Linked DNA regions of Oryctolagus cuniculus. The protein of the gene in region 3 interacts with the protein of the main gene of each other region in a pairwise test. Links are inferred from orthologs where the notes say so. Each region holds a gene or a part of one and is shown on either strand. Other genes may lie near its edges. The genes, in order: STX1A, STMN2, TXLNA, BTF3L4, HYPK, DTNB and CEP57L1.

Region 1 (4,061 bases), on a different chromosome or scaffold from region 3:
GGTTGAAGCCTGGACAGCTTTTCGCAAGCAGTGCGTCTGTCTCCCAGGCCAGACCACATCAGAGGCCAGCTTGTCCGGGAAGAAGCGAAGGCTGGCATGCTGCCCCCACTCCGCCTGCCAGCCAGCTCACCTGTGCCCTCAGTCTGGGACAGGCGCCAGGCTCACCAGGCAGCGGGGGCTGGGCTGGCTCCAGAGCAGAGCCTTGGCGGTCCTGGGGAGAGGGAAAAGGGGCGCGTGCTTGGCTTGGGGTCGAGGGTCTGGGCCATTCCAGCCGGGGGCCGCCACTGGGATGCTGTCACAAGGAGAGACAGAGCCCTGGAGGGAGCATCTGTGACTAACCAGCCCCTCTCCGCCCCTCCCCAGGTGCTGCTCGTCCCAGGCCCAGCGGCCCCGGCTTGTGGACAGGCAATGGGGTCTTCAGGCCCACAGCTGGAGCTCAGGGCAGGAGATGCAGGGAAAGAGGAAGGGAAAGGAGAGGAAGTGCTATTGGGCCTGGGGCCGGTGCTTGGTGTAGCAGGTAAAGCGGCCGCCTGCAGCGCCGGCATCCCATATGGTCGCTGGTTCGAGTCCCGGCTGCTCCACTTCCAATCCAGCTCTCTGCTATGGCCTGGGAAAGCAGCAGAAGATGGCCCAAGTGCTTGGGGCCCCTGCACCCACGTGGGAGACCTGGAAGAAGCTCCTGGCTCCTGGCTTCGGATTGGCACAGCTCCGGCCATTGCGGTCATCTGGGGAGTGAACCAGCGGATGGAAGACCTCTCTCTCTGCCTCTGTCTCTCTGTAACTCTGTCAAATAAATAAACCTTAAAAAAAAAGAAAGCAAAAAAAAAAAAAAAAAACCATCGCCCCCCAAGGATCGAGGGGTTCCTGCATCCTGCTGGAACAGCCAACGCAAGGGTGAGTTGGGGGTGGGGGTCGCCCGCACTCGTGAACCGAGAGATCCTGGGGCAGAGGCTGAGTCTGCACGAGGTGGTGTGACCAGTGGGAGGGGCCGGGGCCCCGCGTCGGGGGCGGGGTTTGGGCAGGGGGCTGCTGCACGGAGTTCCAACCGCAGCTGGAAGGGCTCACTGAGCGGGGGAGACTAGGGGCCCAGGTCCGGGGTGCAGAGTGGGGAGGTGGTCGGGGCCGAGGCCGGGGAGGCCGCAGGGGATCCAGCGTCCAGGTCCCAGCTGGGACAAAAGCCCAGGGCCCCCGGGCTCTGGGAGGGTGGGGCGGGGCGGGGCGGGGCCGGGCCGGGGTCCCGGGGGCCGGGGCGGGGCCGCGCTGGCGCTGCGCAGCCGCGGGGCGGCCGCCGCGCATGCGGGGCTCACAGGGCTGCAGCCGGTGCCGCTGCCACTCCCGGGAGCATGAAGGACCGAACCCAGGAGCTCCGCACGGTGAGTGCGGCCCCGCGCGCGGCCGCTCCTCGCCCGCGCCAGCGCCAGCGCCCCGGCTGCCTCCAGCCCCCGGCCTCCCGCGGCCCCTGCGCCCCCGGCCGGGGAGGGGGGAACCCTGAGCCCCCTGCTCGTCCCGCCCCTTCGAAACCCTTCGGGGGTCCCCGGCTCCCGCGCGCCCGGACGCCTCGGCCGGCGGGCTGGCGGCCGGAGCCCGGGGTCCTGGACAAACTTTGCGGCTCCCGGTGCCTGGGGGGAGTCGGAGGGTTATCGGGGTGGCGGTGGCGGGACGGCGCCCGCGGAGCCGATCCCGCCCGCATCGCCACCCCCTGCACACTCCGCTGACCCCGCCGTGTGAACGCGCGCCGGGACCGCGGGGGGACACCCGCCGGGGACGGTGCCCGGGCGCCGCCCCTCCCCCATCACCTGTGGCTCCCATCACCTGTGGCTCCCTGTCCTGCCCGGGCGCGGTCGGGACCCTGTCTCTGGGCGCCCTGGGGCTGCGAGGGATCGCACCCACCCCACCCACCCACCCACCTAGTCCACCTTCCGGGGCTCCGCGGTGCGACTCCCACCTGGATCTTATTTTTCCACCTGTGTCTCCGAGGCCCCTGGGCTGTGGCTCCTGGGGCGGGGTTCCGGGGCAAGGTTCTGGGTCGGCGCCCACCTCTTTCAGCCCGGATCAGGACTTCTGCCCTGCTGCTCCTCACCCTCAAAGCCGCCTCTGCCTTTGGAGATGGCGGGGAGGGCCCCTGGGGGGCAGTGAAGGAAATGGGGTCATGTAATGGGGGGCTCAAGACTGGCTTGGGTCTCCTCTGATGCCCCGGCTAGCGACCACCCCCTGCACACCAGTCCGTGCCCCCCACCCACCCCACCTGCCTGGCCTCCAGATCTGTGTCATTCCTGGCCGAGCGCCCAGCCCCAGGGGCAAATCCCGTGGGGTTTCCAAGGAAGCAGCCGGTCCCTCCTGCGGTCCTTGGTCCCCGGACACTTCCCCCCAGCCCTTTCGGTTGCTCTCAAGGTTCCTGTGATGCGGCAAGTCGGTGGGGGCACCGGCGTGGCGAGGGTTGGCTGCGTGAAGCGCCTGCTCCTGCTTGCGTGTCCCTTGGGTCCGATGAGGGTGCAGGGGAGCCTCTGGCTTGTCCCTATGCTGGAAGGGAAACCGAGGCACAAGGAGACGGGGTGGGGGGGGCTGCCTGCTGGAGGCAACGGGGTGTGGGGAGGGACTTGGCCTGGTGGCTGGGACTGGGGGGCCCCAGGAGAGCTTGAGTGGTGAGAAGCAGGGACCCAGAAGTTGTCTGTGATGTGAGTCCCTGTCCCCAGTCCACGTGTACACACACACACACACACACACACACACCTGCCTGAGCCCTGGCTGGCGAGCCTGGCTTGCTCTGAGTTATCTGATGTTTTCCCTGCAGGCATAGACCTCCCACCAGCCCCTGGTCGCTGTCCTCCAGTTTCTAACAGCCTCGAGGGGGTGGGGCGAGAGGCAAGGGACAAGGGGCGGCTGGCCAGAGCTCGCACTGGGTGGGCTGCAGTTTTGAAGGGTTTTCCACGAGGAAACCCCAGCTCTGGGGGCGAGGTGCAGCCACAGGTGTTGGACCTATGGCTGCACATTCTGGGGGAGACCTTGAACTCCAGGAATCAGGATTTGCAGCTCAGAAATGAGGAGCGGCACTGGCTGGGCTGGCCGGAGCTGGGGTTCAGGACGTGGCTGTGCGCCACCCCCAGCCCGCCCTCCTCCTCCTCCTCCTCCTCGCTCACCCAACATCGCCACCACATTTGGAAGGAAGGCGAAGGGAGCTTATTTATAAAAGTCACACTTGGGGAAGGAGCTGGCGTGCTTCCTCCGTGCTCCGCGGGCCGGGCTCAGCCCTCCAGCCTCCTCCTGCCCCCGCCTGCCTCTCTCTCTGAGGTTCCTTTCCATTCTGCAGGGGGAGAGTGAAGAGGGCTGTGGGAGCGGGGCCAGTGTGGGGCTTCAGCCCCTGAGACCAAGGCCTCAGGTCAGAGAGGCCTTCCTGGGGGTGCAGGGAAGCCACACAGCCCCGGGTGGGGTGGGCACTTTCAGGGTAGGATGTCCCCTTACACTTAGAAGCCTCCCTGATTTTCTTTCTGGGGCTTTACTGGAGCTGCTCCACACCCCTCCTCCGGTCCAGAAAGGAGTTCACCTGCATGCCTGGCAGGCTTCCTGGAGGAGGAAAACTTGGGATGGTCCCAAGGAGGAGGAGGAGCCCAAGCCGAGGGGATGGAGGATGCCCCTGAGGTCCAGAAAGGGGCCCGGCTCCCCCCCTCCCCACGCCTCTCAGGGCAGGTCAAGAGGCCGCAGTGGGGGGCAGCACCAGGCAGGTCTGGTCGGTTCTGCACCTGTCCAGTGGAGCCTCGCAGAGCAGGCACGGGGCAGGGTCTCCCGACACCCCCCTCTCCTTCCCCGCGGCTTCCCAGAATGAAGTAGGATCTGGCTGCGGAGAGACGGTGCCATTGGGGACCGGCTGGTCTCACCGCCTAGCCTACGGATCAGAAAAGCCAGGTTCAGAAAGGGCCACGGGTTCATCTGAGGTCACACAGCACAGCCCGGTGCCTTTTCCCCGGACCCGAAGCTGCCGCCCCCATGCTCTTGGGACCTTGCGAAGGGGCAGCCTGTGCTAAGCAGGGAGCTGATGTAGCAGGCCTGGTGGGGGGTGGGGGTGG
Region 2 (3,500 bases), on a different chromosome or scaffold from region 3:
CTCCTGCTCCCAGGGCCAGCTCCTCCGGTTACCTAAGGCTGTGCTTTCTTGGCAATGTGTATGTCTGATAGACTAGAGGAGGGGGGCCTTTATGACAAGGGGAAGAGGAGTGTGGTTTTGGTTCTTTTGAAATCAGCCTTTATCTTACCATAATTGAAGCACATTTTATCTAGACGCTCCTGGCTCTACATCTATTGAAGACTGACAGATGTTGGGATGTTTCAGGTTCAGGTGTCACTGACCCTTGGAACCTCTGCTAGAAGTTTGTGAATGTGTGTGTGTGTGTGTGTGTGTGTGTGTGAGAGAGAGAGAGAGAGAGAGAGAGAGAATGCAAAAAAGAGAGCGTAGAGTGAACTTCACCATTGTCTAGAAAGAGTTACCTTTCTTCTTTCCTCTGCAGCCTCCAGCTTTTTCTGGATCTCCTCCAGGGACAGATCTTTCTTCTTTGGAGAAGCTAAAGTCCTCGGGGCTTCTGAGATAGGAGAGGGTGGCTTTAGGATCAGCTCAAAAGCCTGGCCAGAGGCACGTTTGTTGATTTGCTTCACTTCCATATCTAAGGAATGAACAGTGGAGAATATTAAGCATACAGAGGTCAAAGCATGGATTTATTCTAATGACTTGAATTCCAGCAACTGAAAGCAGCATTATTAAACTGGGAAGTAGAAGTAAAATGCTACAGATGATAATTTTCTCTACATTGTTTTGGAGTGTTTTCATCCCAAATTAATGAATGACAAACATGTGAGGTAATGTATATGTTAATTAGTTTCATATACCCATTCCACAGTACACACACACACACATACACACACACGGTGGTAACACAGTGTATTCAAAAAGTTCATGGAAAATGCATATTATGCAAAAATCCTGCATGGATTTCAAAATTTTTTGTACCAAATAAAACTTACCTTTAAGTTCTGTTTTCCATGAACTTTTTGAAGTACCTTCATATTTTGAACATATTTCACATAATAAATATAAAATATTTTTGTTAGTACAAAAACTGAATAGTTGCTAGCCAGCTTTTTTTTTCATCAGTGGCATTTATGGCAAAGATAAGCAGATTATCAGACCCTCAAGTTTTAACCCTGCATAATATGGTTTTAATATTAATATAATTTATAATATAAATAAATGATAACTAATATCTGATGAGACATTCATCATTACATGTTTCGCAAATTAGTGAAATATAATGATTAAAAAATGAATATTCTTTAATGTGAGCCTCAGATGGCATCCCTTTGACATCACTCTACTGGAACTTGTATGTGATGTGAATGGTTGCAAGCCAAGGACATTCTCTGTTGTGTCTTCCAAGTACAGTTGTCCTTTAGTCCCTGCGGGTATGGTTCCAGGATGCCTGGTGGACACCAAAATCCAGGGATGCTCAAATCTTTATGTAAAATGGCACTGTGTTTGCATAGATGCTACACAATATTCCCATAGACCTTAAGTCATCTCTAGCTTAACATGTAATTCCCTAATACAATGTAAATGCCATGTACGTTGCTGTCATGCTGAGGCTGCTCTGTACCACGTCTCCCACCACAGGCTAAGCATCTTCAGGGAGATTGTTCCTAGATCTTGATAAGCACGTTGCCACCTAACCTATAAGTCTCTCTAATTTATTAATGTTCCTTTGAAATCGTGGCAAGCCAGCCAGCCAGGTCTCCAGGCCGGTTCTGGCCAAGGCAGAGCAGAAATCTTAACTTCTTCTAATGTGAGGATTATGTTTCCATTAATGTTTCAGCAGTACATTGAGGTTGTGGTCAGATAAAAACCCCAGGCTGACAGGAATTGACCTTGGATCCATAAATGCTTATAGAAAATCCAGATGACTAATTTAATAAGTAAGCTGGAAATGATGCATTTCTTTTCCCATAAATATAAAAGTAATTTAAAATTTCCTGAAGCCATCCAATATTTAGTTATGCTTTAAATGCAACTATATAAAATCTATGTAAGCCTATAGAAAAGGATTACAAAAGAGAATGGGCAAATAAAAATAGCTTATTTGATGAGGTGATGAGGGATTTTAAAGGGCTTAGCTGAGAGACTGGTATTAGAACTGCCTGTATTTGCAGGTGAACACTAGATACTGCTTTCCTGCTGTGTGGCACTGGCAAAGTTAATTAAATTCTCTTAGCTTTCATTCCCTCACATAAAGACAGAGCTAAGAGGAGCATCTTTCTCTTAAGATTGCAGTGAAGATTAAATGACAAATGGTAGGGAATGGAAAGTACAGCCTATGGCACTCTGGGTTTACTAATGTAAACAATAAGAAGAACAACTGTTATTTGTTATCATGTTTGTCTACAACAAATGATTCACATTCTTATCAACATAGAAATACAGGCCAAGTTAAGGACCTCAGAAATTTGATATTCTCCACCAGTTCTGGTATTGATTCAATCTGGACAAGATTGAATTATCTGTTCAACTTCTGAGACTTGGTTCATATATAACTTTGTACTTTCTTCTACCCCTCTTCTCAATCCCTCAAGCAGCAGACACCATCATTACCTCTTATGTCCTAAGCACTCTGTGTTCTGTATCTTGCCCATGTGTATACTGAAAGACACTTTCCCTGAGCCTTGAGTGCCTTACAGGTGAAGATCATGTTACATTCATCTTTGGATCTTCAGTGACAACACTGAGTGATCTATACTGAGTGATCCAACATCGGGAGTCTCCTAAGAAAGATAGCATGGTTCCTACTTGCAGCCAGATCTAGCAGATAATAATGGTCTGTCCAGTATATGTGAATTTATGCAAAGCAGGAACTGGCCTTGGGCTTCTGTTCTAATAAAAGTTTTGGTTAGACACCAAAACCTTTTTACATGGGGTGGGCAATATTTCCTTCTGAGACACTTGATCAGCAGTCAGGATGCTTACATCATCATGGAACAACTTTCTACAGGTTTTAAAAGCACAGAGGGGGTTAACTACCAAAGGCCCATTCACCTGATCCTTCGTGTCTTTCTTTACATATGTGGAAAAGAAAAATAACTGACAGCCTAGGCAAACAATATGCTTTAGCTATATCTAGTATACATAGAACTGAATCAAATATTTTGATTGGATTGACTGAATTAGATGAGAATGAATTGTTGATAATAATAGCTATCTTGATGCTTTAACTTAGTGTGAAAACTTTTAAACCTCATAACAGCCCTGCTTGGAGATGCTAGTGTTCAGTGAGGCTCTAGGGATCTAGGTATCTGCTTGCCCAAGGCCAGGAGGTCAGTGGCAGAGCCAGAGAGAAAAGACTAGCCAAATGAATTAGAATACATTCAACTTAAAGGATTGTGCTTTCCTAAAGTGAGCTGCCAGGCCAATGCTCCGGGCATTTCTCTTCACACCTGTTTACCGGGGCCTCAGTCATATATCAGTTTGAATTATTTAGTCAACTATGATTACTATTAGTTTGTTGACAGGCATACACAAAATATGGGGACTTTATAAAGACTACAATAAAGAAAATGTGATGTTAT
Region 3 (4,054 bases):
CAAAACCTCTTGGAATTCCTTCGGGGGGGGGGGGGCACCACTGGTGGGAGAAAAGCTTGTCTGCCTCCCAGCAGATAAAAGGTATCCCACCTGCAAATTCAGGGCTACTGTTTCAATGCAAAGTGGGGCCTTCCCAGAGAAGCAGGATCCGAAAAGGTCTCCTGGCCTCCGTGAGAAATCTATAGCCCTGTGTACGAGGCATCCAAACAGGGAACCTTATAATGAAGAGACCTTCAATGTGTGTTCCCATGATTCTTTAAAAAAGTTCCTCTTTCAATTAGGGTGACAAGTGCTGGGGGCGGGGGAAGGGCGGCGAGACAGGGACTAGGACACAAGTCCAATGTCATCTAACCCAGATTCTTAACAGACACGAACTCTGCTGTCAAAAAACCGTCTCTGCCACTTCCCCACTGCCTGTGCCCAGTGGGGGGCCTTTCCCCAGGGGCTGCTGACCAGGCTCCAGGCTGCTCAGCCTGCGGAGGCCCGAAGACACCAGCACAGAGATGCCAATCACTGGCACACAGGCCAAACCCGGCTCATGCATGGGTTTTGTTTGGTTTCTACTACTGAAATCTACAGATTTCACCAGACTCTTGATTTCTGGCTTTTCTTAACAGAAAATAAAATTCCAGCTGCACCCAGTCTGAGGTTCAACACGCTCTCAACTGACGAGCTGGCAGCAGGCACAGTGCAGAGCACTCAAGGAACAAGGCTGCAGTCCACCCTGGGCAGAAAGCAGGCCCTCCCTCGGTCCTGGCTTACACAGACGTTTGCGTTTGCAACTTTGGCCTAGCCCAATCCTCTCCTTGTAGAGAACTGGAAACTATTGCCCAGGGCGGGGAAAGGACATGCCCAAGGTCACACAGCAGGGACGAAGCGGTGTGGGCAGGTACAGAGCCCATCCAAACCTCTCCGCTTTGTCCATGAGGATCAGGCTCCATTTCACTTGCTCCCAACCTGAACGACTCCGGCCTGTGGCTGGAATACCCTGCGCTTTGAATCAACCAGGGAGACTCCCTGCTGCACAGCCCAAGGAATGTCAGGTGCAAAGCCCTCCCCACAGCCCCCCGCAGCTGCCCTCTGCTCACCCAGACCCTTGGCCTTCTTCTTTTCCTGTGGCCTCCGGTGGTCTCGGTCTCCGACCTCATCGCTCGTCCGGATCTCTTCCGTGCCCGGCTCTGCCTTGGAGGTCTCCTTCTCGCCATTGACTACTGGGGTGCCCGGCTCCGGCTCCCCATTCCTTGCCACATAGGCGCGAGACTTCTCTGCATCTTCAGGTTCAGGGGGCTCACCCTGGACCCCATCCTCACCCGGGGCCCCCTGGTTGTTGTCCACACAGTATGTACTGAGTATGTCTTCCAACTGGCGGCTCAGCTCCTCAGAGACATCACAGAGCGCCCCAGGCTGAGCAGTTTTGGCTTGAGCCCCTAGGGCAGGAGAGGACGAGAGGCAGCGACAGACGGCAAGGTTAGACCACCACCTGGGATCGTGAGCCCAGCCAGCCTCACTGGTTCAGGTTTAAGGTTGCCCCAGCTTACTTAATTCTCGCAACCTCCCCAATACAGTTTGTTCAAGCATAAAATAAGTACGTACGGCACCTGGGACTGCCATGTCGCAGGAGGCAGGCAACTCAATGTTTCGTCCATTCCCCTCCCTCTAAAAGCCCCCGCTTGCTATGCAAGCAGCTCCAGAAATGCCTCGACAACGAACCAAGGGCAGTGACCCACACTGGTGACCGAGGTCCTTCGGATGGAACCCGGCGTCACTGGCTGAGGCCTCAGGTGCCGGCCACCTGCGAGAAGCCTGCAAGGGCCTCCCCTCCCCAGAGCCTGGGATGCTCCACATCCCCGCTGCCTCCTCCCTGGGCCGGGCCGCGAACTCCTCCCCCAGGCGGCTGGAAACGCAGAGCTGGCACACACCCTCCGGCCTCCCGGGAGCCTGGCTGCTGGCACCTTCGGCTTCTCGGGCGGGGGCCGGCCGGCCGGGCCGCCCCTGGGCTCCCTCCGCTCCTGCTTCCGGCTGTCCCGGGCTGCTTTTGGGGTTGGGCTGTTTGGCAGCCCCGTTCTTTTTGTCTTGATTCTTCATTGTGCGCTGCCACCTTAGGTTGGGATTGGATCCTTGAGAAACACAGTTGCTATTTTCCACAGAATTCTTCGCAGCCTGGATCAGAAATCACAGCCCAGGCGCACCTTCAACGGAGGGAGCCAACGGTTCTCCCGCTGTCCGGCCGGTCAGGGGGCCTGGCGCACCCCGGCGGGTTTCCGGGGCGCTGCTCCTGGAGCGGGTGAGGAGAGAGGCCTCCTTGTTCCCCCCGAAGCCACTTCCCGGCCCCACACGGCCCCTCACGGCAGGCCCGGCGCGGGATTGGCTCCCGGCCGCAGACTGACGTGGCGGGACGCTCGACTCCGACCCCTCCCCCCGCGCCCCAGGTCCCACGTGGGCTCCCGCGCCCGCGCGCACGCAGCCACCCACGCCCCGCGCGCCCTCCAGTCGCGCGCATGCGCACAGCGTCACCCCGACTCCCCCCACCCCCGCCGCCGCCCACGCGCAGAAATCGGAGCAATTTCCCCGCTGGCCGAAAGTGTCCAGGTCTGCAGGCCCTCACCGTCCGTCGTCCCGCCGCTGGGCTCACCTCACGGGCGACGTGCGACCGCGTCCCCAGCGCTGGCCTCGCACCGGAAACCCTGGGTAACCGCTGCCGGCAGAGCCGCCTGTCCGAGCCACAGCCAATTAGTAGCCGGCGCTGGCGCGGAGCTTGCCGGGAGCCGGGAGCGAAGGCGGCCTCCAAGGCGGGTGCATCGGGAGGGCGGGGACAGGAGCGGACTACACGTCCCACCATGCATCGGTCGACACAACTCCCAGGATGCTCTCGTCCTCAGAGCCGCGGACTCCGGAGGGCTGGGGAGCCGGTGGTTCTGAGCAAACCTCCACGTCAACCTCGCCGGTGTCGTGCAGAAGCCCTGTGCGGCCCAGCCTCACTGCGCCCGCGTGCCTCGGTCCACACTCCGTCAGTCCGGGGACTCCGGAGAGGCCTGGGCTGGGAGGCAGGCCTGTGTTCCAGGTCCGACTTCATCCCTAGGTGCCACGCGACTGGACGTTCTTTTCTCTCCCTGCCTCGATTTCCTTATTCTGACGCAGGCTTTCAGTGACCGTAGCGGTTCTCTGAGCACACCCCGTGTGCTTCCCTGGTCTCTTAAAAGCCCTGGCCTCCTAGCTGCTGGAGATAAGTACTATTTGTCATTCCCATTTAACGGAAGAGGGCTGTAAGGCTCGCGTTAGACAGCTCGCCCACGGTCACAGATGCTGGGTTCGAGCAGTGGTTCAGAACCTGACTACTCCGCTACCCTGCCTTTTACTCAGAAGAAATAATCACCATTGCAGGCGTTCTCCAAGAGCCCGGGTAACTTGTGAAAGGTAGTTACCCCCCCCCCCCCCCAATAAGCTCGGCAGTCCCGCAGGAAGGGGCAGAGGGGTCCCTGCAGGGGTGTTTGACCTCAGGCCCATTCCTGAAACTTCTTCGTCCCATTTTGTACAAAGTCCTTGTGGTACTAGGGCTAAAACTGAAAAGGCCAGATTTTTCTCCAAAGGTGGGATCACAATTTTTTAAAAAGATTTATTTATTTATTTGAAAGGCAGAGTTACACAGAGAGGAGAGGCAGAGAGAGAGAGAGGTCTTCCATCCGCTGGGTCACTCCCCAATTGGCCGCAACCGCCAGAGCTGCGCCGATCCGAAGCCAGGAGCCAGGTGCTAGGAGCTTCTTCCAGGTCTCCCACTGGGTGCGGGGGCCAAGGACTTGGGCCATCCTCCAGTGCCTTCCCAGGCCATAGCAGAGAGCTGGATTGGAAATGGAGCAGCTAGGAGGTCTTGAACTGGCGCCCATGTGGGATGGCGGCACTGCAGGCACCAGCCCCGAGGTCACAATTCTTTATCACCGCTGCTTATAGACGTTGGAATAAAACCCAGTACTCTTTGCACCTGGAATCTGAAGAGCCTACGTGGTTTGGCTTTTGCCTCTTCCATCCAATCTTGGGTTTTTTGCTCCAACTCTACTTT
Region 4 (4,206 bases), about 19 Mb from region 3:
GTTCTTACAAACCATAATTTTTAAAAACTGGATGGACAAAGGAATTCAACAATAGGTTGTCTAGCTGTCAAAATATGAGCTAGTCATGTCCTTTATTCAAGGTCAGATGTTATGTTAATAACAGGGAAACAGAAGCAGATTTCCAGACATTTGGTGCTTCAGCAGCACTCCAGAATTCACTCATTACCCTGCACTGATATAGTATGCCATATTCATCAAGATTTCCTTGCATTTTGAGTGAAATGCTTCATTGCACAATCTGACAAAAACATCTCTCTGCTACAACAGTGAATTTAGAGTTAGATGGAAGACGCCTAAAAATAAGCTTTTCAAAGCTAATTTTGACTTTGAAATTTCCAAGAACATTATAAAGTCATGAATCCTAGTCTGGCCCGTGACATTCCTACTGCGGAAATAAGTTCTTAAGTTTATAATGAGTCATAACATTCCACACTAAATAAATAAATATAAGTCAACTTAAAAGTCCTGTTTTACTTATTCAGTCAACAGATCATTACTGAGATGCAATGGAATAAGGGACGAGGTTGTTATCAATTTTTTTTTTGTCCAGTCCTCTAACCCCTGTAAAATCATCAAATGAGAAAGATACTGTTTTCTTCATTTGAGGAAGGGGGTAAAAAAAGAATCAAAGATAAATAATTACTAACCATTCTGTTTGACATTGTACTTAGATACTAACCTGTATGTATCTCTGCTTTAAGGCTAAAGTTCAGTTCCCAAATAACATTTAGAACCTATGATTCCTCACTCTTAGCACTATATCACAATCATAATATTTAAGTAGCTAAAACCACTTTTAAGAGGAAGTGAGTTCAGAGTCTAAAACAAAAAGTATTAGAAATGTACCAGTCTTAGCTCTGCCAGACTTAAATTCACTGAAGTAAATGTCAATCCCTATACTCAAGTATCCATAAGAAAAGGACCAATATTCACTTTTCCCCAAGGGATGTGGCCATGAAGGTATTCTGGGGGAAAAAATGGGGGGGGGGGGGGGAGGCTAAGGAAGCTTTTGTAAAAAAAAAAAAAAAAAAAAGAAGCTACATGAAAATATTGAAACTATACACAGGGCAAATCCTTTCTGGACTCTTCTCCCTTTTGAAGTAACAGTCCTTGACAGAAGAGATGGAAGATGATGATACATCAAGGCAGAGTCTTGACTCATAAAAGCAAGAACGAAATTAACTCTATATATCAACGTGTAGATGAAGAACAGATTCCATTCCAAGTGGTCAGGCCAAAAGAAGGGAGAAATCTTACTCCCAAAGAGTATCTCAGAGAAAAAGCATTTTAGGGAAGTCGGAAGCGCAAGGCAGTAGGGAAAGCTGGCCGGTGACCTTTTGTCTGAGCAAGCTGGGGCATGTGTACTTCAAGCAGGAAAAAGGATCAGGCTCAGTCTAAGAGAGACGTAAAGCTCAGGATCTGAAGCAGACCTCAAAGATCTCCTGGTTTCATCCCCTACTCTTCAATCTTTACTGCACCATCACTTACATGAGGCCATCTCAAATACCTGCTTTTTAGCAGCAAAGTGTAAATTACAAACAGTTCACCTCCATCCCAGTTTAACAGATTAGGAAGTGAGAGCTTGACAGGAAAAAGGTACCTTTCAGGGCCCAAAAGGTGGAAGTGATTTCCTAAGGCAAAGGGTCTTTCAGTACGTCGTTCTTCAAGGACTCAAGAAAGGGTGTAAGTTAAGAGGTTAATCAGTATTTACTGAGTGCCTAAGTTCCCAAGCATAGTGAAAGGCACTTTCACATACATTATGTTTGCACTGAGATAAAAGTAATTTCAACCTTTAGTCCCAACTTTTATTACGCGAGGTTTCTCCAAGAAAAAGGCACAGGTCTTGGAATCAGAAAGGCTAAGGCATCGGAAGGGTATTCTACTGTTCTGAACTTGTGTTCCTCCTGCATGAGGGAAGGTGTACCACCACCTACTTCACAGGATTGTTTTGAGCGCAAAAGGCTAGATTATCAAGCACAGTGTACGCAGTAATTGGCAACTATTGTTACCACTTCCGAGAGGACGGCTAAGCTAGAGTGAAAGAACGTGGGAACGGAAGTTGAAACCGCCATTCACTGGCTGTGAGCACTGCCTGTCGGTCAGTGATGTGGTTATGAAGATGGGCAAGGTAACGTTTCAAAGGGGAGGCAGACTTGTAAACAAATACTGCCATTACAAGGTGACGAGCGCGGCAAAGGAGTTCGGTCCCAACAGCTTGGAAGCTGGACGCGCTAACCTCAGTCTCCCTATCTGTAGACTGGGAGGAGCAAAAGAGATGACAGCAGGCCAGCTTTCTATAAGGCTCAAAGCTCGCAACACTGTTGTTGCGAATAACGAGCAGCAATGGCACAGAACAGGGGGCGTCCCCCGCCTTCTGGGACTGGATCTGGGAGGCAACAGAGCGGAACCGCTCGCCTCTACAGGAAGCGGTGGTGCTGGGTACCTTCCCTCAGGTGCCGACCCCCAGCTCCGCCGCCGGTAACCGACAGGCCAAACCAGCCGCCTCCGCCCCCACTCGCCGCGCCACGGCGGAAGTGGCAGTCAGAGCGGTTGGCGGGTGTCGGAAGAAGAGGGCGGGGGAAGACCGTGCGTAGCGGCCTATGGCCGTGTAGTGGCGGGACTGCCGGGGGTCTCACCTGAAGCAAGGAGGATCCTCCAACACCAGCACGCGGCAAGAGCAAGATGGCTGCCTCAGCTAGACAGAGAAAGACGACCGCGGCGGTGGCGGCGGGAGCAGGGCCCACGTGACACAGTCGGCCCGCCTCTCCCTCTCCGGAACGGCCTATCGCGGGAGTGCAAATCCGAACTACAAAGCCCAGCGTGCTCTGCGCGTGCCTAGCTTGCTATTGGCTGCAGGTGCAGGTGGCCGCGCTGCATCCTGGAGCTCGCAGTCTCCAAAGCGTTCTATTGTGTCGGCTCTTATAATTTGTAGGGAATCTAATAAAATAAAGGGCGGTGTGTGGTTTCGTTTGGGTGTGTACTTCTGTTCCAATATATCTCACTGTGCAATAAGTAAGCATTGTTTGGACTCAACTAAGTACCAGGAGGAAGATGGGAAAATTAATCTGTTTTCGCAACACAAGGGGAAAAATGGGAAGAAATATTCAACTCATAACAAAAATAGATTTAACCAGAAGAAATTTTACACTTTAGATGCTTGCAGTGACTTATGTCCTGGTTCCCTAGGTCCACCTCAATCAGTTTTGCAATAAGAGGCACCAAGTTTGGTTTTCTTGGAGCTTACATCAGTTGATTGCATCATCCTCGAGTGGAAGACTTGTGATTTTGCAAGGGAGTGAAGGTCCAGCGCTTCTTCCCTAACGGGTAAGGGCATGCCTGGAAGGCACGAGACCGTGCACCGCAGAAGGGGTTTGCCAGGTCTCTTCAGAGACCGGAGTAGGAACTTACAATGACATCCAGTTGTCCATCTTTTACTTGGGGAGCAGTAAGGGGAATCCGAGGCCGGAGGGCAACCTGCCCAGTACTGAGAGCGTCCAACCAGAGCGATCAGTAATTTGCATTTTGAATATTAAGTACAGCGGTTCTAGGGGGGAGGGGCCAGCCTGGCTGGCAGACGCGATCAGCAACGGTTCTCCCGAATCTCTTCCCCGCCCCCACTGTCTCGGTCCACCTTTTCCTTTTTCGGTCACCCGACAGGGACATCCAGAATCCAGAGAAAGCTACTCGAGATGGAGAGCTACTCGCGCACCCTATTACGTGACCTGTACCTTTAAACTCTTTCCATTTCCATCCGGACCCCGGAGGCACCACCCACATCCGTCTAACATCACTTCCTTCGGACTTTGGAAAAAAAAAAAAAGAGAGAGAGACACACACAGACAATCTGGGAACGCGAGGGGTTGAGCGGAGCCGTGCTTGGGGAGCGGTGTGAGCTGTCTGCTCGGCACCGTGGTCCCGCGCACCTACCACCGTGGAGATGCAGGCTCGTCTCGGGGCCACCTGTTTGCTGGGCTTCAGTTTCCTGCTCCTGGTCACCTCTTCTGATGGACACAGTGGGCTTGGAAAGGGTCAGACCGCGTTCTTTTTTTATCTTTGCTGATCCCGGGCCCCAGCCCGGTGTAACCCTTTTCTTGCCCTAACACCGCTACCCTCTCCTTCTGCCTCTTAGGGCACCCCAAATCTCTCTTTAGCTCCCCAACCGCTCCTGGAGTTTGAAGATAATTT
Region 5 (2,825 bases), on a different chromosome or scaffold from region 3:
AATGTAGAATGTGTTACAGTTCAGAATTCAAATCTCCCATAGATCAATTCTGTGTCAGGCCTTTCTGCCCCTCTTCTTTCCATGGTTCTGCCTGGGATACCTAAATTCTAACTTAAACTGGCCTGTGAACTGAGTTGGTAACCTGTATCTACACAATGGCTACAAGGCTGGTGCTGGCCTTTCAGCTATTAATAATAAGCTGTCCTGGAGACACATGCCATGGAGTACAGTAATCGCTGTGTGCTTGCTAGTCAGATAAATGGGACTGGCCAGCCACCTACTATGTGCATCTGAACACAAGGAACTCTTCTACGCCAATTCTTGGGTTGTGGGGAAGGAGGAGCGTCATTAAATTCATTTATATTTCAACATATATATGTTTGCCACAACAAAATGTGATGTACAATGCACTTGATCCAAGATGATAAAAACAGCAATAAAGACCAAAACATTTTTATTGCAATAAATTAAGCCAGTAAGTATGGGTAAGAAAGCACTGATCAGTTGGTTAGGGCAATAAGAGCCTCGACCACATTGCCCATGTGTTCCCGCAAGCTCCGTTCTGCTGCTGCTCGAGAGATCTCCATCTCGGTCATCTGCCGGAAAAGGATAGATCATGTTACCCACGTCTCCTCCCTGGCATTAATGTGCCACCAGACATGCTGACCGATTTCTACTAGTTGCAGGAAACAGCCCAAATTAGGCAGAACCACCTTCCCTGCCCTAAACTAGTTAGGCATTACTACTCACTATCAGCTCCAAATCTTCCTTCTTGATTGTGACTTTAGCCAGTTCCTTCTCCCTGCAAATATTTAAGTGTGTTAGTCTCTACTTCCACCATAAACTCGTAGGGAGAATTATCAGCTGGAATCCGCAGATAAATGGATCTTGAAAAACAGGGTGACAATATAAAATGACTCCCACCATTCCTGCCATTCCTTCCCTCTAAGAGGCTTCTGGCAGGCAGGTGTTGGCCAGGACACCTTTCTTCCATTAACAAAAAATCTCTAGGTCTGCAGGAATTGGTGGTAGACTTGAAGCACGGTACAAAGACATAGCAATGGTCTTTAATGTCTGAGGACGGAACTGGTAATGCTGCCCGGCTGTGCACTCAACACTTACCGCTCTTGTTTAGCCTTCTGCTCCCGGGACCGTCTGTCTCCAATGACTGACATGGCCTATGGGAAAGAGGTCTTGTTACTACTTCGCTACCCACACTCCCCAGTGACCTTTTTAAAAACCCAGTAACAAGCGACACAGGATGTATGCTTGATGGCCAGCGCAATTGGGATCCAAGCACCACGTTTTATTCAATTGTGTTACTTCTCCACCTAAGATTAGTATCCGTCAAGCTCCCCTTGGCAAGAGGCGGGCTCCGGTGACCTCCGCTTCCCCTGGCACTATCCTCTACCCTACTGGCTCCTCCCGCCATCGGGATCGGGACGCCCGTCTGCGCGGGCTTCCAGCTACCGGCTCAGAAGCCCCTCTGCTCTCAGCCCGCCCAGACGCACTCGCGGCCAACCTCACCGTCTCCAAATTGGAACTCTGGATCTCCTTCTCTTCCGCATAGTCGGTGACCCGCTCCAGGTCCGCCGCTCCACTGTCATGCTTGCGTGGCTTCTCAGGAGGCCTCTCCGGGCCGCTGGTCTCAGTCTCTAATTCCAGCTCCACGTCCCCCTCGGTCGCCATATCTACTCCACCGCGCCGCCGACCAGCCACGCCTCACGGCTTCCGGTACCTAACCAGCGACTTCCGCCCAGGGGAGGCGGGGCTGGCGCTGGGCCACACCTTCTTTATGCTGCCGTTCTAGAAGCTTCAGCGGGGAAGGCGTTTCCCTTCTCAGACTTCCTTTCAGACGTGTAGCAGTGTTTTTAGCAAGGCTTCACCCCAGATGTAACGCATCACCGCTCCAAACCAGCCCAACCCGATAGCTTTTCGTCTTTCTCCCTTAGCGCAGAAACAGTTCCTCTCCTCCTCCCTTGCCCCAGGGAACCGTTTGCCCAGGTTGGATGAGGTCTAATCCTAAACCAATTAAGAATGCTAATCCGCAGGAGGCTCCCTAATCTGGGGAGAACTGCCTAAGTGGGCGAGGCCCTGACAAGGAAGCACTTTCACAGGGGTATTTGCATTTACCACATCCTGGAGAGCAGTGTTCTTTTCCTGATGTCCCCATGCTGCCTTAGACCGGGAGTTCAGCCCCAGCTAAGCAGCAGGCCAATAGGATGAAGACAAACTGCTGCTACTTTCTCATCTACCTTCTTTTCATCTGGAGGACCTGGGCCTAATCCCAAGGACAAAGACGATGGGTCCAAGGGCTGACAAAGGCCCCAGCACCTCCCTGGACCTGGCGCAGCAGCGCAGCGGAGTCGGCAATGTCACAGTGAAAACCCACTTCTCCCAGGTGAGAGGGTGCTTGGCAAGACAGACAAGGAAAGCTTCCTTAAACAAGGGCTATATGAAACACTGTTAAGTGTAAGGGTGGCTGAAGCGGAGAAAGAAAACCTGTGGAGGCCAATAAAAAATGACAGGCTTTTCCTCTTGTAATGCCTGTTTTTTTTGCCTCAGTAAACTCCCTCTTCCCAGCCCCAGATGTTTGTCTAAGGAGTCTCAAAGATCTTGGAAAAACGGGGGGATTTCAGAATTCAACCTTAAGGGTTCCCCTCACACATAAATTAATCTACCCCCTTCCTCAGCAGTCTCCACCTTGCAGCCTGTATCTGCTCTGTCCCCAGGTGTCCTGCTGTGGGGCTGTTCCTAGTTCCAGCTGCTGCCACCCTGGCTGGCCGACTCTAACAGACTCTACCTGTAGCCGCCTGTTCTACATC
Region 6 (3,500 bases), on a different chromosome or scaffold from region 3:
CACGAAGGGGCCTTGCCGGGTGCAGATCTGGATTCCTTACACTCAGAACTGTGTTGGCTCCGCAAGGCAGGTCGAGCTAAATGTGTGACCGTCCCCACCCCCGGGCTCACGCTCTGTGGGCGCTGCCCTCCGCCGCACCCTAGAAGGCAAAGACTGAGGGGTGAGACGAGGCCGCGTGTGCCGCGGGGGAGCTCTGGGCTTCACCTGATCGGAGCTCTTTCACCAGGGATGACATGGTGTTGGTGATGGAGTCGGCAGCCACCAGCAGGTCACTGCGCAGGTTTCTCCTCGTACCTGAGGGGAGTCAGCAGACGGCGATGCCAGGGCGGTGGGCACGGAGAGGAGAGCTGGGTAAACGCCTCATCCTGCCAGGCCCTGGCACGCAGGTGCAGGACGCCTGCGGGGAGACGGGGCTGCGGCAGCTCCACCTGCTCCCGGGCACAGCAGGAGCAAGAGGAGCCCCAGCCCCGTCCTCACGGCCGCCGCCGCCTCTCCCTGCGCGGCAGAGCTGAGATCCAGAGCGAGCCGTACATGGAGGTGCTGGTCAGCTGCGGGCGGAATTCACTCGCCAGCACCCCTCCTTGTCCCCTGCCCCCAAGACTTCCTGCTTGAGCCCCTCGTCTCCCACCCAACTTCTCAGTGTCGCTGAGCCTCACACGGCCGTGCCCTCGCAGGGTGGTGTGTGGAGTCCATGTGCCCATCCTGTGCTTGCGCCCAAGGCTTGCAGGGCTGGGGGCATGACTTGAGAGCTACTCCATCCACTTCCTCTGAAGGGGACAAGGTCCAAAGCACAAGCCCCGCGCCCCAGCTCCCCCACACGGCTGCTGTGTGTGTACCTGCTACTGGAGACCGGCCCATCTAACAGGAAGGGGCCAGCACCTGACTTAATCCCACACTGAAGCCAAGAGCTTTCAACAAAAGCACAGAAACTGCGGGATGACCCCTCCCTGTGCCATGCGGCAAGCACCCACCTTGTGCGAACGCCTCCTGCACGTCTCCGCCGACGCCGCTCAGTGAGTCCTGCGGGCAGTGGGTGGGCGTGGAGCCGGCTGACGTGGAGCGGACGGGCATGGGCATGGGGCGGCCACCTCCGTGAGTGGGTGACGTGTGCGGGGACCCCGCGGCCTGCGCCTGGGAGGGTCAGAGAGAGAACAGGGGAGCTCAGGTATCTCTGAGGAAAGGGAAAGCCAGGTGGAGCTGGCGCGGGCTTGGCCATGTGTGAAGCGAACGCCCAGGCTGCCCCAGGACTGGAGAGAGGAGGAAGGGGAAGGAGAGCCTGGTGCGAAGGGGGCATTTCAGGGAGGCCGAGGGGGCCGGGGGCGGGGTCAGCTGCTGGAGGGCCAGGAGGGAGGAAGATGCAGACGTCCTGCCTGTTTGTTCACAGACACATTTGTGCACGCGCCGGTTCATGCACTCACTCTCCTCTGATCCCCCAACAGCCACAGCAGGAAGGGCCAGGCTTCCCTGTCCAGTTAACAGGAGAGAACCAAAGATGAGCAGAGCCACGGGCCTGTGCCGGGCTCGCCACCCAGAGGGTCGGGCTGCGGCCCAGGGCTCGGGTCAGCGAGGCCTCTCCCAGGGCCCCCACCAACCACACACCACAGGCTGGGGGGATGGGAAAGCACAATGCAAGACGGAAACTGAACAGAGGCAGCTCACAGGGCAGGGGGCTGCTCCTCGGGGCTGCTGCGTGCGGCAGAGCTGGGGCTTTCTGCAGAAGCAGCACTGGGAGAATACAAGCCAAGGAGGGAGGAGCGCAAACGAAGACCCCTATCTTCCCAGGAACCAGGCTCGGAAGGCCCGCAGCAGAGGGACTCGGCCCTGGCTCGGCCGGGCACTGACCTCGACAGAAACGGTTTCTGGTCTTGGTGCTGGTCTTACCTCTGAGTCATTTCTATGTGTGTGGATTTTAACTTGAGAAGTTTACAAAGGTGGAAAACCAGAAAGTGTGATATAAACCACTCCAAACCGACACACGTGACACTGTCACATTTATTTCCACCTGGAAGTACTGCAGATAAACCTGAGGAGCTCCGTGCCCACTGCTCTTGCCATTCCCAGTTCCTTTTCTTACCCCTTCGGTGGCGGCCACTGTCAGAGAGCTGGGTGTGAAACTTCTCACCCCGTGTACCCGCATATCTGTGCATCTTATACTTGTAAGCTGTGCGTGAGTAGTAGTATACTGCACACATGGTTTCGCAGTTTCCTTTTATCACTTAGCACACTTCCTGGACTCTTTCCAGGACACAAATAAATATGATCACAGACCCTCACGTCTCATGTCATTTTAAAAAACTAACTTGAAAGGGATCAAAGTAACTATAACAGCTAAAACTGTAAAACTTCTCAAAGAAAACATAAAGAAATCTTTGCAGACATGGGTTAGGCAGATTTCTTAGATGTGACACCAAAACCAAGCTATATGAAAGACACGTTGAATTTCATCAAAATTAAAAGCTTCTGTTCTTCAAAAAGCATCATTAAACACTACATGGACACATGGACTCAGAATGGCTCAATAACCTACGCACGGGAGCTAAACCTACAAAACTCTTGGAAGAAAACAGGGAGAAGCCTTATGATCTTGGGTAGGAGAGCATATGAGAAGCAGAAGCTACAAAACAAACTTCTGTGCTTCAAAGGACAGCACGGAGAAAGCAAAAGACAAGCCACAGGCAGGCACAGAACTTCTGCACACGACGTGTCTGATAATGGATCTGTACCTGGAACTCTTCCAGTTCAGTAACAGGTCAAATAACCTAATTTTCAACTGGGCAAAGAATCTGAATCGGCTAAGACGCACAGTGTCCAAATAAGCACAGAAGAGATGCTCACCAGTACTAGGCCCTGGGCAGGCACAAATCGAGACCATGAGATACTACTTTACCCACTAGGATGGTTGTGATCAAAAAAGGCAGGTGCTAAGTGTAGGCACGGCTGTAGAGCCCCAGGAACCTCCACACACTGCTGAGAGAAATGGAGAAGGGAATGAACAGCTGCTCGGGAAAACGGCCTGGTGGCTGAGCTAAAGGTTGAACGTTGAGTACCAGGTGACCCAGCAGTTCCAGTTCTAGATACACACCCAAGAGAGATGAACGTATGTCCACACAACAATCTGCACAACCGTTCATGGAAGCAGCATTATTCAACTTAGCCAACAAGAGGCCAGCATCGTGGCGTGGCATGGCGTGGTGTGGTGTGGTGAGTAAAGCCACTGTTGTCTGTGATGCCGGCATCCTGTATGGGTGCTGGTTCATGTCCCAGATGCTGCACTTCCCATCCAGCTTCCTGCTAATGGCCTGAAGAAAGCAGCAGCAGAAGATGCCCCAAGTGTTTGGACCTCTGCTCCCCACGTGGGAGACCTGGATGCAGCTCCTGGCTCCCGGTTTCGGCCTAGGCCAGCTCTGGCCATTGTGACCATCTGGGAAGTGAACCAGCAGATGGAAGATCCTGTCTCCCTGTCTCTCCCTCTAACTCTGTGTTTTCATATTTATTTATTT
Region 7 (3,500 bases), on a different chromosome or scaffold from region 3:
TGAAGGTGTCTCCCACACACCCATGAGGATCCTTCCAAAACTTTGTGGGAAAATATAATTAAAAGGTAAGTTTATTTATTTTTTAAGATTTATTTATTTATTTGAAAGGCAGAGTTACAGAGAGGCAGAGAGAGAGAGAGAGTGAGAGAAAGAGATAGAGAGGTCTTCCATCTGCTGGTTTACTCCTCATATGGCTGAAACTGCTGGAGCTGGGCCAATCCAAAGCCAGGAGCCAGGAGCTTCTTCCAGGTCTCCCACATAGGTGCAGGGGCCCAAGGACTTGGGCCATCTTCTACTGCTTTCCCAGGCCATACCAGACAGCTGGATAGGAAGTGGAGCAGCCAAGACTTGAACTGGTGCCCAAATGGGATGCCAGCACTGCAGGCTGTGGCTTTATCTGCTATGCCACAGCACTGGCCTCAAGGTAAGTTAATTTGGTATTAAAAATTTTGATATCCAAGCATTGTTTTTTTTTCATAATAAGCATTTTCTGTGAACTTTCTGAAGTACCTATATATATATATTTTAAAGTATTTTATTTATATAAAAATTATATACATATTATTACATATATATTTATATTTATATTATATATAAAGTATATATATATATATATGTAAAGTATTTCTGGGGTGTGTGTTTAGCTAAGCAGTTAAGATGCTTGTTAAGATGTCACTTAAGATATCTGGGGGCCTGTGCTGTGGCATAGTGGGTTAAAGCCTCCGCATCCCCCATGGATGCCAGTTCTAATCCCAGTTCCTCTACTTCTGATCCAGCTCCTTGCTAATGTGCCTGAGGAAGCAGTGGAATATGGCCCCAGTCCTTGGGCCCCAGCATCCACGTGGGAGACCCAAAAGAAGCTCCTGGCTCCTGGCTTCAGATTGGCTCAGCTCTGGCTGTTGTAACTATTTGGGGAGTGAATCAGCAGATGGAAGACCTCTCTCTCTCTGCAACTCTATCTTTCAAATAAACAAAATAAATCTTTAAAAAAATGTCTGCACCTGGGTTCAATACCTGGCTCTGGTTCCTGATTCCAGCTTCCTGGGAGACAGAGGTGATGGCTCAAGTAATTGGGTCTCTGCCACCCATGTGGGGAGCCTGCATTGCCTTCCTAGCTCTTGCATTCAGCTTAGCACAGCCCTGGCTATTGCAGTCATTTAGGAGGTCTCTGCCTCTCAAATTAAAAAATAATAATGATGATAATAATAATCATCATCATAATAAAAATATCTCTGAATTAAACAATAAAGTACTACTGAATGTCAGTTTAAAAAAATCAAAGGACTAACTATTGCCATCAGGAATGTCTGGTAAAAGTGGGGTAGATAGAATTAAACAAATAATTATCTATCAACTAGCTGAATTTCTTCAAAGGCGAACCTATTCCATAGTCTGTTTTCACTTACACATGGCTCTAATTGGTACAGCTAGCCTAGACACTGAGTGCGGGGTTGTCTATTTGCCTTTGAGGCTATTTTTATTACAAATATGAAATGTATCATAATAAAATGTCTGCATATTGCTATAGTCATTATGGAATATAAATCATGTCCTTCAAAATATAGTCTGTATGAACTAACTTGTTAAAGTTTTTATTTTTCCATTTCTTTCAAGTTTCCCCTATGTAATTCCAAGAAAGTGCAGAAGTTGTACAATCTTTATTCCAATACATCCATACAAAACTTTGTACTTATAGCTTTAAAAGCTAGCAAAATGAAAATGTTTGCTTCAAAAGTAGGCCATAAGAAGAATAAAGGCAGCTATGTTCTGCATTGTTTAATACTTTCCTACAAGAGGCAGGGGAGGCTTACTCATATCTGTGAGGTTAACACATTGCAGACTTTTATGAAAGATGATTAGATCCACAGCAGGGAGCTATCTGATGTGACCTGACGGCTCCTGGAAAGGATCCCTCTGCCTTCTGCTCCTGTGCTGTAGGAGTGCTCGAAGTTCAACCTATGGAGTCACTGTCATGGAATAAAATATTATATTCTAGGGTTCTTTTTTCAAATATTAAAGCTGTTATGCCAGTCATAGCTATTAAGACTTTACATCCAAATTCAGAGTTCTCTCCAACGCCATCCTACTCATTATAGCTAGCTGACTGCAGGTCCCCAAAGCAAAAAACAGCACAGCTTGCTTTGGGAAAGGTTGACATTGAGTTTAGGAATAGGGTACTCCTGAGAAGCCAGGCTTATGGGTGGTAGGAAATTAAAAATCTGTTAACACAAAGGGGCATCATTAAGGCATGGGAGGAGAAAAGGGGAACAGGAGAAAAGAGTAACCAGAGGGCTGCTCAGTCAAATTTCTCCTCCTCACAATTTTCCCAGAGCTGTTTCTGAACACATAATTTACTTTTCCTACTCCTTTTTCTCTACATTATCATGGAGAGTCAGGTAGGAAACCCATGTTATTCCAATGGGATGGCTAGCTGTACTGTATATAACAGGCCTAAGTGATTCCTATCTGTCTATCTTGTCACAAAACCACATATAAGAACCTCATATTTGGAAGGTCACATGGAGATGTAACATTGACACCAGTTATGTTATCTTTTCATTGCAATTTTTTACTAAGGCTTTCTTACACTGTCTTGATGCTTCTTCAGTTTGGAAATCTGTTCTCTTTTAATTTCCATCTTCTTGACTAAATGTTCTAGTTCACATTCTATGTCACCATAGACTGAATGGCTTGCAGTGTCCTTCATTTCTTTCAGTAGTTCTTGGTGCTCCCTAGAAAAAGCAAATTTAAAACAATTCAGTTGTAGCATAAGTTTCACTGAGAGTTAAATAATAATCTTAAGCCCTTGTAATCTGAGATTAGATACATTTAGATTTTGACTTAGATGGCCAAATAACCTTAAAAAAATCTGAGTTCTCGAGGCTCCCGGCAACACGTAGTAAAATGTTCTGGTGTCCTTGGATGGAGGCATTAAAGGGCTCTTCAGTTCCAACTCTGGAATTACTGCTGAAGGATTTGGCCTTGTCAATGAAATACTGTTCACAGAACTAGTTATAGCTTCTACAGAGGTCTCAGTTCAAGTAGTGAGCCAGCCAAATCACATGGTTCTGGATATACATTTAAACATGGGGCATGATCTAACGTAGCCTATACAGAATCTTCCTTACTATGGATGCTGCAAAATGTGTAACGCAGATCAGCCAGGCCTAAGACGAGGCATTACATTCTACTTGTTTAATGAAATCATTCATTTAACTACAAAATTCTAAAAACAAATTGAGAGCTTTTCTTTTAAAAGCTTTGTGAATTGTAATCTAAGGTCACCATACCATAGATGTTAGAATGATAATAATAATATCTGTCTGTCAGTCCAGATTTTGAGAATACAGAAACTCTGTAGAATGGAAAAGCAGCAATTATGCACACTTGAAAACTTAGTATCAATAAACACAATGAAAAATCAGTGATAATAAATTTGCAGACCAAAAAAAATATATAAATACAAATAATGAAGTCAGGCCTTTCAGAATTTGCAAGTG

What was found.
Region 1: the proteins of TXLNA (region 3) and STX1A interact in binary tests that used the Homo sapiens proteins (3 or more experiments, as listed by UniProt). The link is inferred for Oryctolagus cuniculus from reciprocal best matches to the Homo sapiens genes TXLNA and STX1A.
Region 2: the proteins of TXLNA (region 3) and STMN2 interact in binary tests that used the Homo sapiens proteins (3 or more experiments, as listed by UniProt). The two-hybrid records come from large-scale screens. The link is inferred for Oryctolagus cuniculus from reciprocal best matches to the Homo sapiens genes TXLNA and STMN2.
Region 4: the proteins of TXLNA (region 3) and BTF3L4 interact in binary tests that used the Homo sapiens proteins (3 or more experiments, as listed by UniProt). The two-hybrid records come from large-scale screens. The link is inferred for Oryctolagus cuniculus from reciprocal best matches to the Homo sapiens genes TXLNA and BTF3L4.
Region 5: the proteins of TXLNA (region 3) and HYPK interact in binary tests that used the Homo sapiens proteins (3 or more experiments, as listed by UniProt). The two-hybrid records come from large-scale screens. The link is inferred for Oryctolagus cuniculus from reciprocal best matches to the Homo sapiens genes TXLNA and HYPK.
Region 6: the proteins of TXLNA (region 3) and DTNB interact in binary tests that used the Homo sapiens proteins (3 or more experiments, as listed by UniProt). The two-hybrid records come from large-scale screens. The link is inferred for Oryctolagus cuniculus from reciprocal best matches to the Homo sapiens genes TXLNA and DTNB.
Region 7: the proteins of TXLNA (region 3) and CEP57L1 interact in binary tests that used the Homo sapiens proteins (3 or more experiments, as listed by UniProt). The two-hybrid records come from large-scale screens. The link is inferred for Oryctolagus cuniculus from reciprocal best matches to the Homo sapiens genes TXLNA and CEP57L1.

The regions. Positions count from the first base shown.
Region 1 is NC_091450.1:50,381,677-50,385,737, forward strand, and holds the start of STX1A (syntaxin-1A), read left to right. Parts: upstream 1-1,261; 5' UTR 1,262-1,343; coding exon 1,344-1,373; intron 1,374-4,061. UniProt on the Homo sapiens protein: Plays an essential role in hormone and neurotransmitter calcium-dependent exocytosis and endocytosis.
Region 2 is NC_091437.1:105,186,071-105,189,570, reverse strand, and holds part of STMN2 (stathmin-2), read right to left. Parts: intron 554-3,500; coding exon 381-553; intron 1-380. UniProt on the Homo sapiens protein: Regulator of microtubule stability. When phosphorylated by MAPK8, stabilizes microtubules and consequently controls neurite length in cortical neurons.
Region 3 is NC_091438.1:140,273,197-140,277,250, forward strand, and holds the start of TXLNA (alpha-taxilin), read right to left. Parts: upstream 2,801-4,054; 5' UTR 2,633-2,800; exon of another isoform or gene 2,606-2,632; intron 2,491-2,605; exon of another isoform or gene 2,276-2,490; 5' UTR 2,086-2,275; coding exon 1,920-2,085; intron 1,428-1,919; coding exon 1,089-1,427; intron 1-1,088. UniProt on the Homo sapiens protein: May be involved in intracellular vesicle traffic and potentially in calcium-dependent exocytosis in neuroendocrine cells.
Region 4 is NC_091438.1:120,888,675-120,892,880, forward strand, and holds the start of BTF3L4 (transcription factor BTF3 homolog 4), read right to left. Parts: upstream 2,801-4,206; 5' UTR 2,658-2,800; exon of another isoform or gene 1,622-2,657; intron 1-1,621. Other genes in the region: TXNDC12 (thioredoxin domain-containing protein 12), read left to right, coding at 3,959-4,049.
Region 5 is NC_091443.1:66,686,284-66,689,108, reverse strand, and holds HYPK (huntingtin-interacting protein K), read right to left. Parts: upstream 1,690-2,825; coding exon 1,528-1,689; intron 1,179-1,527; coding exon 1,123-1,178; intron 803-1,122; coding exon 751-802; intron 597-750; coding exon 501-596; downstream 1-500. Other genes in the region: SERINC4 (serine incorporator 4), read left to right, coding at 2,544-2,825. UniProt on the Homo sapiens protein: Component of several N-terminal acetyltransferase complexes. Inhibits the N-terminal acetylation activity of the N-terminal acetyltransferase NAA10-NAA15 complex (also called the NatA complex).
Region 6 is NC_091433.1:177,327,473-177,330,972, reverse strand, and holds part of DTNB (dystrobrevin beta), read right to left. Parts: intron 1,132-3,500; coding exon 972-1,131; intron 398-971; exon of another isoform or gene 295-397; coding exon 205-294; intron 1-204.
Region 7 is NC_091436.1:62,252,130-62,255,629, forward strand, and holds part of CEP57L1 (centrosomal protein CEP57L1), read right to left. Parts: intron 2,733-3,500; coding exon 2,588-2,732; intron 1,968-2,587; exon of another isoform or gene 1,812-1,967; intron 993-1,811; exon of another isoform or gene 777-992; intron 66-776; exon of another isoform or gene 6-65; intron 1-5. UniProt on the Homo sapiens protein: Centrosomal protein which may be required for microtubule attachment to centrosomes.